Linked DNA regions of Arabidopsis thaliana. The protein of the gene in region 1 interacts with the protein of each later gene in a pairwise test. Each region holds a gene or a part of one and is shown on either strand. Other genes may lie near its edges.

Region 1 (7,411 bases):
GAAGGTCTACCAAATCGAAGAAACACACATTCATTCTCGTAATCGTACGTATATTCATTTATCTAGCTTCTTTTATTTGAATTTTTACGCAATATGCAATTCGATTCGTAGACTCAGTTGAATATAATTGACCTAATACCTAATGCTTATAACTAAATATTATAGATACTATTCTTGAATGCAACATTGAGATGATCAAATCATTTACATTTACAATCTTATTTTTCTCGTTTGATGAAGAAATAATTTTGGGGAACAACCATATATAGATGAGTGATAAAGGTATTGCCACGTTCCATTACTGAGAAGCATAATTCAATTCATATCTTTTGGAGACAAATTCGACATGTCATTCCCTAAGTCTATTTCATATATTTAATTTTAAAAACATTGAATATTACTATATAGTTTATCAACTTATATGGATGTATATAGTATGTCCCATTCGAATAAGTGCATCAAAGCGAAACGAATTAAATGAGATTCACGACCAATGATTGTTGTTTATGTGTATACTATTAAGTTCACGTGAAGCTAGCTACAAGAATCACAGATATATACTACATTATTTGGATTAAAGTTTTAAAGTAACAAGAGTGATTTAAATTCGACCCGTAGGTTCTCTTAAACTATGAGAGTACTATATGAGTCTTTAATTATCTTGATCGAATATATGCCTTGGAATTGATTAATTAACGCCTCTTTGAAAAATTGGACAGTTGAATATAACATTTCATTTTAGGTGGGGTTTAATCATATTGTTTTGTCAACGCTAACGGAATTATTAAAAATGAACAATAAATGATATCACAAAAATAATTTTCATAAAACAAATAAGCAAACCACCATTGCCAAACCCAAAGAGGCGCACTATGCTTCCACCTTCAGGAACAGAAAAATAATAAACGTTCCTTGAATGAGAAATGGGAAATTAGTATATGGGAATTTATGTTCATGTATCTTTGACTATTTTTCTCTCAAACGATATTATTCGATACTATTAAACTATAGTTATTCACTAAATCTAAAACTGATTCGTTGAAATTTATGATATCTTCGTTTGGGGATTGTACTATATAGTTATCATGAGTTTGTACGCAGCCCATGCTTGCTAAGGTAAACAAAGTTTCATGGAAGGTTAAAAAGTGAAATAATGATATCAAAACCTTTTCCCGGCGAAATTACTTTTATTTATCTTTGATTTGTCTTGTAGCTTTTGGTTCTTCAGGTGAATTATTCAAGTTGGTTTAAAGATCCGTTGGTGGCAATGATTTGGTAGCACAGTTTAGTTATGACAGTTATAAAAAGATTTTTTTTTCTTTCTGATTAATCTTGATATTCCATTTAGAATAGAGTCATAGACATTGAGAAAAACGTAGGTTTACCACTTCCGCATTCAAATGTGTTAGAATTTAACAATCCACCTCAAAGATTTAAGTACTGATTAATATTTAAGATTGTTTTGCAAATGCAGAAGAAGAACCTCCATGTTCAATGATAGAAAGCCAAATCGTAAAACCGGATTGTCTATCTTCTCTTCTCGAGAAGAAGCAAAGAAGAGAATAACAAAAACGTTACATCAAATAATATCTCAAAGGTAGAAGTCAACCACACATCCAAATCAAACACAAAACATAAAACAACGACCAGTTTACTGACTAAAGCAACAAACAAACAACAAAAATAGATCATTTTTAATTCTTCTTCATTTCCTTACATTCGTAGTCTTACTTACTTCATTTTAAAAATTCAGAAACTAAAGATATTGATGTTTTGAAATTTAAAAACACCACCAAAAGATCGCACATATTTTGTATAGTTAGAAAGCTTTGTCATGTTCCATCTTTTAAGCTCTCATCTTCGATTTCTCCATTGCTCTCGGAGCTGCAGCTGCAATATCACCAGTTCACCACATTGAATCATTAAGACATTTTGAATCAGAGAAGACGAGTGATCAAACATGAATTGAAATCAGTTTAATTTCGATTTTATTTACATGTTAATTTGTTGTATTTACTCCCAAAAGAAGACGAGTGATCAAACATGAATTGAAATTTCTAAATCAGCTACAAGTAACTCACACCAACAAACCACTAATCTCATCATACACACTACTTGTAATCGGTTTTAGTAGAGATAGTAGTTTACGTTGTAGCTTAGGAGCAGAGAGAAGAATAGACTTTACCTAACCCAATAGCATCACACCCTTTCATTATCTTCAGCTTCTTGCAGACATCAATAAACATCCTGTAATATACATCGGATCAGAAATCACTCATGAGCGCTTATACCAATCACCATGATATAATCTTCTATGGCATGTTAGATTTGATTCTAAGATATCTGGCAGAGAGTAGAGAAAGCTTCTAACAAGTTTTGAATATAAGAGAGGAAACTTACTCCCACGGAACATCTCCAACAAGCATCCAGTCACCATCCTTATCCTCATAAGTGAGCACATAGTCTTTTCCATTCAAAAGATCCTTGAGCTTGGTCTCACTAAGCATATCCTTCCCAGCAGCTCCATTAGATCCACATTGACCTAAACATCAAATAAACAGTGCAGGTTAACTACTTTGACTGCACTCATTCATTGATCCTTAAATAGAAAGAGGTTTTCAAACACATCACTAGCAATCACTGAAACATCTCACCAAGAGTGAAAGTGGTGAACATTTTCTCCAAGGCTGAAGAAAGCTCCCCGTAGTTAGTGTAGCTCCTCAGGTCAACTTTCCTCAGATAAGGAGCACCATCCATACTGACCTTCACGAAGAGAGCCCCAGAACCTGGCCTCCCATCAACTTCGTCACTGTTCTTACAAGTAGTGGCCAATGTGTTCTTCCTGTAGGATCTCACTGGAGGCCAACCGACAATTTGTGCCCTGAAAATTCCAGAATCCGAAAAAACACCAGTTAGCTAGCTGTTGAAAGTAATCCATATCAAAATCGAACGAATGCTCCTATCTTCTATTCATACTTGGCTGCAGGTGGACTAGAGCTATTGTTTGTAGTGCTAGACTGTCCTTTGGGTATGTTTTGTGGCACATCTTTCTTTGTTACAGACTGGGTGGCTGCTGCTTCAGGGAACATCCAGTTTTTCTCAGTATACACTGAACTTTTAGCTTCAGCAAACTGATCCATTGTGTCAGAAAAGCCTCTTTTGTTTCCCGATGCATTGTTCTTTTGCGAGGAGGAGCATATCTCATCTTTAGAAGGAAGCAAAGGAAAGAATGGCTTCTCATCTAGCTTTGCTGGGCTCAAAAGGTTAAGCTCTGTGTCTCTCGCAGGAGATTGTGATCCAGGAAGACCAAGTGTCAGCTCCGTAGCCTTGAGGCTGATAGTAGCTTTGTCATCTTCAGCAAGGGGAGAGAGAGTAGAGCTTCCAACAGAAGAACAATCAGAGAGACCCAAGTAGTTATGCTCTTTAAGTCCTCCTAGAGTGTTCCTGGAGATGCAATTGCTAGTAGGTGAAGAACTAGCCACCGATACATTGCTCTGTAGCTCCTCTTCCGGGGACATTGGATACTCAAGGTTTCTTTAACTGCAAAGCTGCTTTACCTGATGATTTACACAGCACAAAGTCCTCCACATTAAATTCACATAACCATAAACAAATCCTCAAACAAAACCCTAAATTACCAGAAAAAATCAAGAACTCAATTTCAATCAAAATTCGAAGAAACTCGAAACCGTATCAATTAGGGTTTCAAAAGTAGATTGCATCTATGAAAAACTCACAACCAAAATTTAGAGCAAAATAAAGCTCAATCTGAGAAAAAAATGGAAAGCTAAAAATAAATAGAAGTCAACTTAAGGTCAGATGAAGAAACTACACCGTTGAGTTACATTTTTCGAGCTGATCTCAGATTTGAATTTCCACAGAATTCTATCTACAAATCACTAAACCTAGCAAGGTTTAAGCCAACAGCTCAAACAAACCAAAATTCGCCATAGAAATAGTGAGGAAATCAGCAAAGAAACTCAATAGCTAATAGATCTAATAACTACTAACTACACACACAAACAACAACAAGCTAAAAATTACCGGATTTGAAACTATGTATAAGAAGAACAGAGAAGACATAATTACCTCAAACGGAAAAAACAAATCCTGGATGAAAAATGGAAGCTCACAACGAAGAAGAAGAAGACGATCAAAAATAAGAGAGTCTGAGATATTTTGGAGAAGAAGAGTATAATTTTTAAGAAACTGTAGAAGATGAATAGCAAAGAGAAAGAGAGAGAGAAGTGTCAAGGTCCTTCCATTAAAGCAGAAAAAAGCTTAATTATCATTACCCAGAAACTCGTAGCCGAGATTAAAATTAAAATAACTAAACAAAGTGGTAGAATAGAAAATAAGTGGAAAAAGTTGCGTATTTTTATTTACGAATGGATTCTAATCCAACGGCTCAGATTTGATCGTGCTGATAATTCTAAACCGTCGGATTTAAATCAGCAGATATGAACCGTTGATGTACAAATGTCGGGAGTCGGATCTTTAAACAAAATTATGCCACTTTTCTGGCTCCACCCGAAAGGGGATGGTTGTCTGCAAATATTAAATTCCGATTCTATCCTTTTGTTTTTAATGACTAATGTAACCTCTATGTGATGATAATGTGATTGAGGAATGAAGGGTAAAATGGTAAAGAGAGAAAAAGAGGAGTGAGGAGGGGACAAGAAAGCGGCATTCCAAGTCGGTTTGCCGGGTGGTGAATGGGACATCTAACCTCTTCCACTTTCTTCCTTTCTCTCTCTATCTCTACTTTATTAATCTAAAATTAATTAAGACTTGTTAATCTTTTTTTATAATCACTTTCTTTCTTTCGGATTAAATTTAATTAAATTCCGCCACCTTCCTAATTTCTTTAACTTTCATTATTACGTTTCCTTATCTTTCAATTTTTTTTACTTAGATTGGCCCAACTGGATGGGGCCCATTGAGAAATGTTAGTCCCCCCAAACTTGAATTTTTCATTTTGCTTTTTTTTTTTGGTTTGGCATTCATTGTAGTCTTCTAGATAGATGAATGGGTAAATAGTATAAGTAACTTTAATAATGACTATAGATTAATCTTTTTCATAAGGTTACGTCACGTGCTAGATTTTTGTTTTTTATTTTTGTTGAATTTGCACTTAAATAAGTAAACTGATTGAAACAAAATTATAGTCATGACAAAAATTAGATACATACAAGTTTGTCCGAATTGAGTTTAAAAAAAAAATCTCATTTTTTGAAAGTATAATTTGTGGTGTTATTGTTAGAAGTACAAAATTTGAATGTGAACAACATACATATTTCTGGAGTATTAAATATGTCTGAATTGCACTGTTACGATCATCATACACAACGTTTAATCCATAGTAATAAGGATGATTGGTTAAAAAGTAAAAAAGTAAATTCGTTGGTAATAAACAGGTAAATTATGTATGTTAATTTTTATAGTCGGTTACATTCTTTTCGTGTTAAAAAGAAAAAAAGAAAAAAATTATAGTCGGGTGTAATATACATAAAAAAAATTACTGTAAAAAATTCAAAGTAATTAAAAAAGGAAGGTAATGGGAATTGGGGAAAGGGGAGCATAATAATAACAAAAGGGGTGAAATGGGATTGAAGAACACGCATGGGAAGCACAAAATATCTCAATCTGACCGTAGGATTTGATGGTAAGAGAGTAAGAGAGGCCTGTGTCCGTTCATCATCATCATGACCTTCTCTGACTCTTTTTTTTTCATCATCACTCTTCCGTACCACTCACGTTATCTCTTTTTTACCCCTCTCTATTCTTTTTAACCTTTTTTCTTTCCTTTTACCAAAGATTTAAAGACGATTAATCAAAAAAAAAAGTCTTTAACACCTTATGCACAAAGAGGAAAGTAAAAGAAAAATATTCACCGTCCAGAATAATAATACGGCATTTCTTAACCTTCCCCGTAAAAAGTTTTGATTTTCTCTTTCTCATATTTTGTTTAATCGTCTGTATAATAAGTAAAGGATATTAATTATTTCAAATTACTACAACTACCATCAGACATTATATTTAAAATTATGAGTACATGAAAATATGTGTCTAATTAAAAAGTGATTGGTAAAAAACAATAATAGTAATACAGATAAATTATTACAAAAATGCAAAAGTAAACAGTAGATCAGATTAGCAGCATTTGCGAGTACAAATAATGCGGGTTGAGACAAGACAATGAGACCCGTAGTGCTTTTGTCCTTCACGCTTATTTTATTAGTCTTTGATTGATGATGGATTCACTAAAGTTAATTAATCTTTTTCCCCGTAATTAATTAATTTATAATTAGAGTGGAGGAAATCAAACGACAAGACACGTTAGACTGTTTACTTTGGGCCCAGACTTTGCACTCTAGTATATAAAAATTCATTTATAATTGGGCTTTTATTTCATATTATAACATAGGCCCATAAGCCACTATCCTTCTTGATGGGCCATAATATACTTACCTCTCTCGTATTAAGGATTTGTTGAATTTATAATCTACGTGTTGACCCCAAAAAAAATGTAATGTACGTAAGATATTTCTTCGTTTAGTCAGTCATGTTGCTGTCAACGTTTTTATAATTCTTTGTATCACAATTTTTTCAATTTTTTTTTAACTAGAAATACACAAAAACAACTAATTATTTATTGCAAATTGTTATATGTTTTATATGTCTCAATATAGGGTCAAACGACGAGCTACTAAATCGGATTTGCACAACAAAATAATATAATTAATTTTATCGAGTTCGTAATAGGACAATGTACCGAGCCGTGATCATCAATATACGAGAGAGCCATTAAAATATATTTGACCGAAAATCAAATACACCTTCGAGTTTTCACATAAAACCTCCGTCAGATATTTCATCCCTCGCAATAAATTACTACATAAAGATAACATTTTAAATTACATGTATATCTAGCTGTATATGAATTAGATATAAGAAAAAGAAAAAAACGGTTTCTTTTTCTTTCTATGTATAACACCTGTATTTGTACATATCGCTTAGGGTCTTAGTCTATATCAACATGGTCCCATACAGCTTAGTTTTTGCTTGTGGAACAGGTTTGGATTTTTCTACAACATAAGAGCTTATATTATAAATGCATATTAAGTCAATTTCTCTGTTTAATCAAATCTTTTTGGTTCTAGAATTGATGTCACCGAATCGCTATGTATCTTTGATTAGATTGGAGAAAAGACAGATTTGCGTCACTCTCAAAACAAACCCAACAACATGCTGCATACCTCATTGAAATCGTTATTAGTAGATAATAATTTGTAAGTTCATTTTTTGGACTAATTAAAAAGTTTAATGTTATTATGTTAGATATATATTATAATGGTTATTAACAACGTTTTAAGCAAACACACAAGTTGTGATATAAAAAGTGTAGGAT
Region 2 (4,627 bases), about 23 Mb from region 1:
TGCCACTTTCTTAGGCGGCGCGTGGGTCTCAGATTCGTCGCGGTCGTCTGATGCTCTGACATCCTCGTCTTTCCTTTTTCCGTTCTCAGACATTTTCTTAACCTCTAAAAAAAACACTCTTCTACTGCAAAAATTGACTCTTGAGATTCTCAAGTTAAATAAAAAGCACCTCTCTCCTTTTCTCGCGTAATATATCTACTGCGTTCACCGAATTACAACTGTGATATCAGATTCGGAACGCCATTTTACAAGCGCACAGTTTGAGAACACGCGCGGCCAAACTTAAAACGGGGGAGTTTTTTGGGAAGGTAAATATTCTTTGGAAAAGAGCAACTATAGCAATGAAAGTAGCAACACAGAGTGATACATTTATTGTGATGGGTTCATCTTCAAAGACAATGTCTGCTTATGGCCTTGTCCGGATCAAGTGAAGTTTGGCAAGAGCTATGTAACATTTAGACCTATCTTGTTTATAACTTATCAAATGAATACTTGTATTCCTGCAACGTATCTTAATTTGCAAATAAAACAGCACTACAGCAGTAAATAAAAGAGCAATCATTATATTCTTAATACCAACCAAAGCTTGTCTGAACCAAAAGTGAAAGATTCCATACACCAACTAATTTGAAGCAGCTTACACTAGCAGAACATGGTGTTGTTCTACAAAAACAACCAAAACAACTGAGCCATATTCTAATAGACGTACAACCAATGATACAAGTTTTAAAACCTAAGAAAGGTCAGAGAGGGCCTTCTCGATATCCTCTGCGTGGTTCCGAAGAGTGTTCCACTGCATTAAGGAAAAGCTGTGTAATAAGCAAATAACAAGAAAACAGAAACACTTCTAGGAGACATAAAACAGTGGAGAGAGATAGAAAGAGATGTGAGTACCTGATCCACGCTTAGAGAGATACCTGCAACGTATAACAAACATAGAGATAATCTTGTCAACATGATTAGTTATGTAGAGATAAACTAATATAGCTGTCTCTAGAGAAAGACATGAAGGAGCAATAGCACCAAAATAAACAAAACGTTGTTGTACAAAAGCAAACACTCTGCACCATCTCCGCTCATACTTACAAGTCCATAAACAGTCTCAATAAGCAGAATTGCCTATTATAAAACCCTAAGATATGCAATTCTATAAACCTGACTAAATGCAGAAACTTAACAAAGCAAAACAGTAACGAAATATAAAACTAAGAGATGAGGAAACACATTACTAGAAATAATGAATTATGAGAGCCAAGGGGCATTGGTTTAAATTACAAAATAAAGTTACCTTTCTTGCCAGGCAAAGTCTTTCCGTCCTTGACATAGAACTCACGAATGTCAATCCAAATCTTCCCGTTCCAATTCCTTACAGAGACTCTCCTATTCTTAGATATCTGATGTATAACCAACATGAACCCTAATTTGATTAAAACCCTAATTTTGAGCAAAACACATCAACAAAATTAAAACTTGACCGAAACCCATAAGCTCACTGCTAATAGAGTAGATAACGAAATTGAAAGATAGACAGAAAGTGTAGACTAACGTTGCAGACGACGATATCGTCAGACTGGTCGGAATCGTCTGCTGGCTTTGCGACTTTCTTAGCCGGCGCGTGGGTTTCAGATTCGTCATCTGATGCTCTGACATCTTCGTCTTTCCTTTTTCCTCTAGAAGACATTTTCTCCAACTGTAAATAAGCAGACCCAAAATGTTCTCTTCAGACCAGAGTAAACTCGCACTAAACAAAAAACCGAGCAATTACAAAATTTAGTAAAAGTGAGAAGGAAACCTGGTCGTGACGCTGCAACGAGTTTCTCGGAGACGGCGAAAGGACTCTTCTACTGCGAAATCGACAAAAGAGAATTGAGAGATTCTGAAGAAAAATGAATCGGCGCGTCTCTTCTCGCGTATTTATGTTAATGTGTTCACCGACCACGCGCTGTTGCAGAGCGTGTGATAAAATTAGAACTGTGACAGTTGTTTTGATTCGGAACGCTTTTTTATAAACGCGAATTTGAGAAAACGCGGGAGCTTTTTTGCTTGGGAAAGGTGAAAACAAAAAGATTTGGACTTGGTTTGAAATCGCCGAACCCTTGACAAAACTCGATGGGGAATTTATTCGTGAAGAAACCGAAGATCACGGAGGTTGATCGAGCGATTCTCTCTCTCAAAACCCAAAGGCGCAAGCTTGGTCAATATCAGCAACAGGTTCTTGATTCCTTCGCCTTGTGATTTCGCATTTCTAGGGTTTATTCTTGCTCGAATTTGGTCTGAGACAGAAAGTGCAGTTTGATTCGATTCACTAATGGTTATGAATAAGGGTAAAGGTTACTGAATTTCGGCTATGGGTTCTCGAGGTTTAAGAAGCAGTTAAATGTAGAAGTTGCCTTCAGAATCTGTCTTGGATCCAAATGTTGATTCTTATGTCAAGCTAATGATGGTTTAATTATTTCATCGCCACTATTGGTAGATAGTGAGTTTGATCGCTGAGAAAGTGGAATGCAAATGTTTTTTTTTTCTTTCCTATGATCCTGAGCTTTGACCTTTCTTTCTCTTAAACCTTTCTTTTTAGCTTGAGAAAGTAATTGAAGCAGAAAAGCAAGCTGCAAGAGACTTAATCCGTGAGAAGCGAAAGGACAGGGCTTTGTTAGCATTGAAGAAAAAACGGACACAAGAAGAGTTGTTGAAGCAAGTAGATCAGTGGCTCATCAATGTCGAACAACAAGTAAATTGGCTTGACCTTCTTCTTATCATCTCCTTGTTTCCATCACATAACCTTAGTGCTATATAAACAGTACTTTTCTTTTCTTTTATAGCTGATTTTATGTTTTGAAAGAAACATAAACGAATATATTTTGAACCTGTCTTTATGACTCAGTTGGCAGATATCGAACTTACAAGCAAGCAAAAAGCAGTCTTTGAGAGCTTAAAGCAAGGTAACAATGCAATTAAGGCGATTCAGAGCGAGGTCAACCTTGATGATGTTCAAAAACTGATGGATGACACTGCCGAGGCCAAGGCTTATCAGGATGTGAGTTAATAGTGAATCTTGTTGTTCCTTTTTGTTTGTGTGGTTCGCTTATAGTTACAATCATTTGTCACATTTGCCGAGCTTCTCCTTGTTTTTCTCCTTCATGGTTATGAGTATTCCCTTGCTTGATCTAACTGTTAAACACTTTGATTTTAGGAACTGAGTGCCATATTAGGTGAGAAACTATCAGCGGAAGATGAAGAAGAGATCTTAGCAGAATTCGACAACCTAGAAAGTCTGGTATGCTACATAATGGATTCTCTTGTTTCTCAGATACAATTGTTTCCAGCATTATGACCGTACTGCCCTATTGATGTTTCGAGTACCACCATTTACTTTGTGAAACAATCTTCTTGAGTGGAGTCAAATGTGATATATAATGTTTGTTTGTTTTGAAGCTGATTGTTGAAGATATGCCTGAAGTGCCTACGACAGAGCTCATGCCTGAAGAACCCGAGAAAATGGATCTCCCTGATGTGCCAACAAAAGCACCAGTCGCTTCCAATGAAACCACTTCAACAAAGAGAAAAGGTTTTTGTGATGTTTGTTCAAGTAACAATTGCTTCATACAAAGAACCTTTAACTCATAGATGCTTTTGTTGTTGCAGTTCTTGAAGAACCTTTGGAAGCTTGATTCAGAAGTGAAGAATCTGATAGACTACTACATAGCCACCTCGGATTATAATCATTCTTTGGAAACCTTTTTGTTATGGGCTCTTGAAGATCTTTGTGTATTCTCTTCTTACTCCTGCAGCTTGTAAAGAACCAAGTTCATGGAGTCTCTCTCCTTGTAAAATGGTTTGGTTGTTTCTAAAACCGATTCAGAGTCTTTGACCTGAACATATGAAAGTATGAATGACAACATTTAGGCTCAGTGGGAACAATTGTTTCTCTTTCTTTGTATAGGATTTTCCTCTTTTCTGAGTGAAAATCAAAGCTACAAATTCTTCCAGAAAGAATTCACTAAAAGATATTTGTAAATGGGAATGTCAAACCAATTGGTTTGTCAAGATTTCAAAACCAGAAAAAAAAATTCTTAATTGATATTAAACCAAACCGTATTAAATTGGTATGGTTTTTTAATCTACAACAAACCAAAGAAAAAAAACCGATACGGAAACACGACTATTTAGCAAAACTATGCACCTATCAATAATACCTCGCTCGATCTGGGTTTTTGCAAAGCTTTATAGGGTTTAAGAACTATGGCTCTCTGAGCTTCATTTGGAAATCTTCATTGTTCTTCGACGACTTTGTTTGACTCCAGGTACCTGTTTTGTTTTTGTATTCTTAGAACAAATAAGATCCCAAGGAATTTCTTTTTGTAATTTCTGGGTTTTGTAGCCATAGATCTCCTAGATGCACAGAAAGTGTTTGAGGAAATGCCTCTGAGAAGGTTGATTTAAACTCTATTGCCCGTTCATTTCATAGATCTCGCCGCCAATTTTAGTTTCGAGGATTTGTGCAAAGCTTTTAGATTTCGTCCCTCTTTTGGTTGTATTTTCCTCAAAAATCCTATGCAAATGTGGATCCAGTTTCGCAGTGCCTTACGATTTTAGATTTCAATAGTATGGTTATGAACATTCATGGAAT

What was found.
Region 2: the proteins of IAA9 (region 1) and KIWI interact in binary tests that used the Arabidopsis thaliana proteins (3 or more experiments, as listed by UniProt).

What each region holds. Positions count from the first base shown.
Region 1 is NC_003076.8:26,250,570-26,257,980, reverse strand, and holds IAA9 (indole-3-acetic acid inducible 9), read right to left. Parts: upstream 4,574-7,411; 5' UTR 4,090-4,573; intron 4,035-4,089; exon of another isoform or gene 3,846-4,034; intron 3,558-3,845; 5' UTR 3,519-3,557; coding exon 2,977-3,518; intron 2,882-2,976; coding exon 2,655-2,881; intron 2,543-2,654; coding exon 2,401-2,542; intron 2,248-2,400; coding exon 2,186-2,247; intron 1,891-2,185; coding exon 1,847-1,890; 3' UTR 1,437-1,846; downstream 1-1,436. UniProt on the Arabidopsis thaliana protein: Aux/IAA proteins are short-lived transcriptional factors that function as repressors of early auxin response genes at low auxin concentrations.
Region 2 is NC_003076.8:2,874,688-2,879,314, forward strand, and holds KIWI (ssDNA-binding transcriptional regulator), read right to left. Parts: upstream 1,923-4,627; 5' UTR 1,793-1,922; intron 1,691-1,792; 5' UTR 1,682-1,690; coding exon 1,547-1,681; intron 1,435-1,546; coding exon of another isoform or gene 1,395-1,434; coding exon 1,289-1,394; coding exon of another isoform or gene 1,272-1,288; exon of another isoform or gene 918-1,271; coding exon 799-917; 3' UTR 794-798; coding exon of another isoform or gene 734-793; 3' UTR 501-733; downstream 1-500. Other genes in the region: AT5G09240 (ssDNA-binding transcriptional regulator), read right to left, coding at 1-93; VPS20.2 (vacuolar protein sorting-associated protein 20.2), read left to right, coding at 2,110-2,211, 2,576-2,728, 2,882-3,034, 3,191-3,274, 3,433-3,565, 3,643-3,668. UniProt on the Arabidopsis thaliana protein: General coactivator that functions cooperatively with TAFs and mediates functional interactions between upstream activators and the general transcriptional machinery. Binds single-stranded DNA.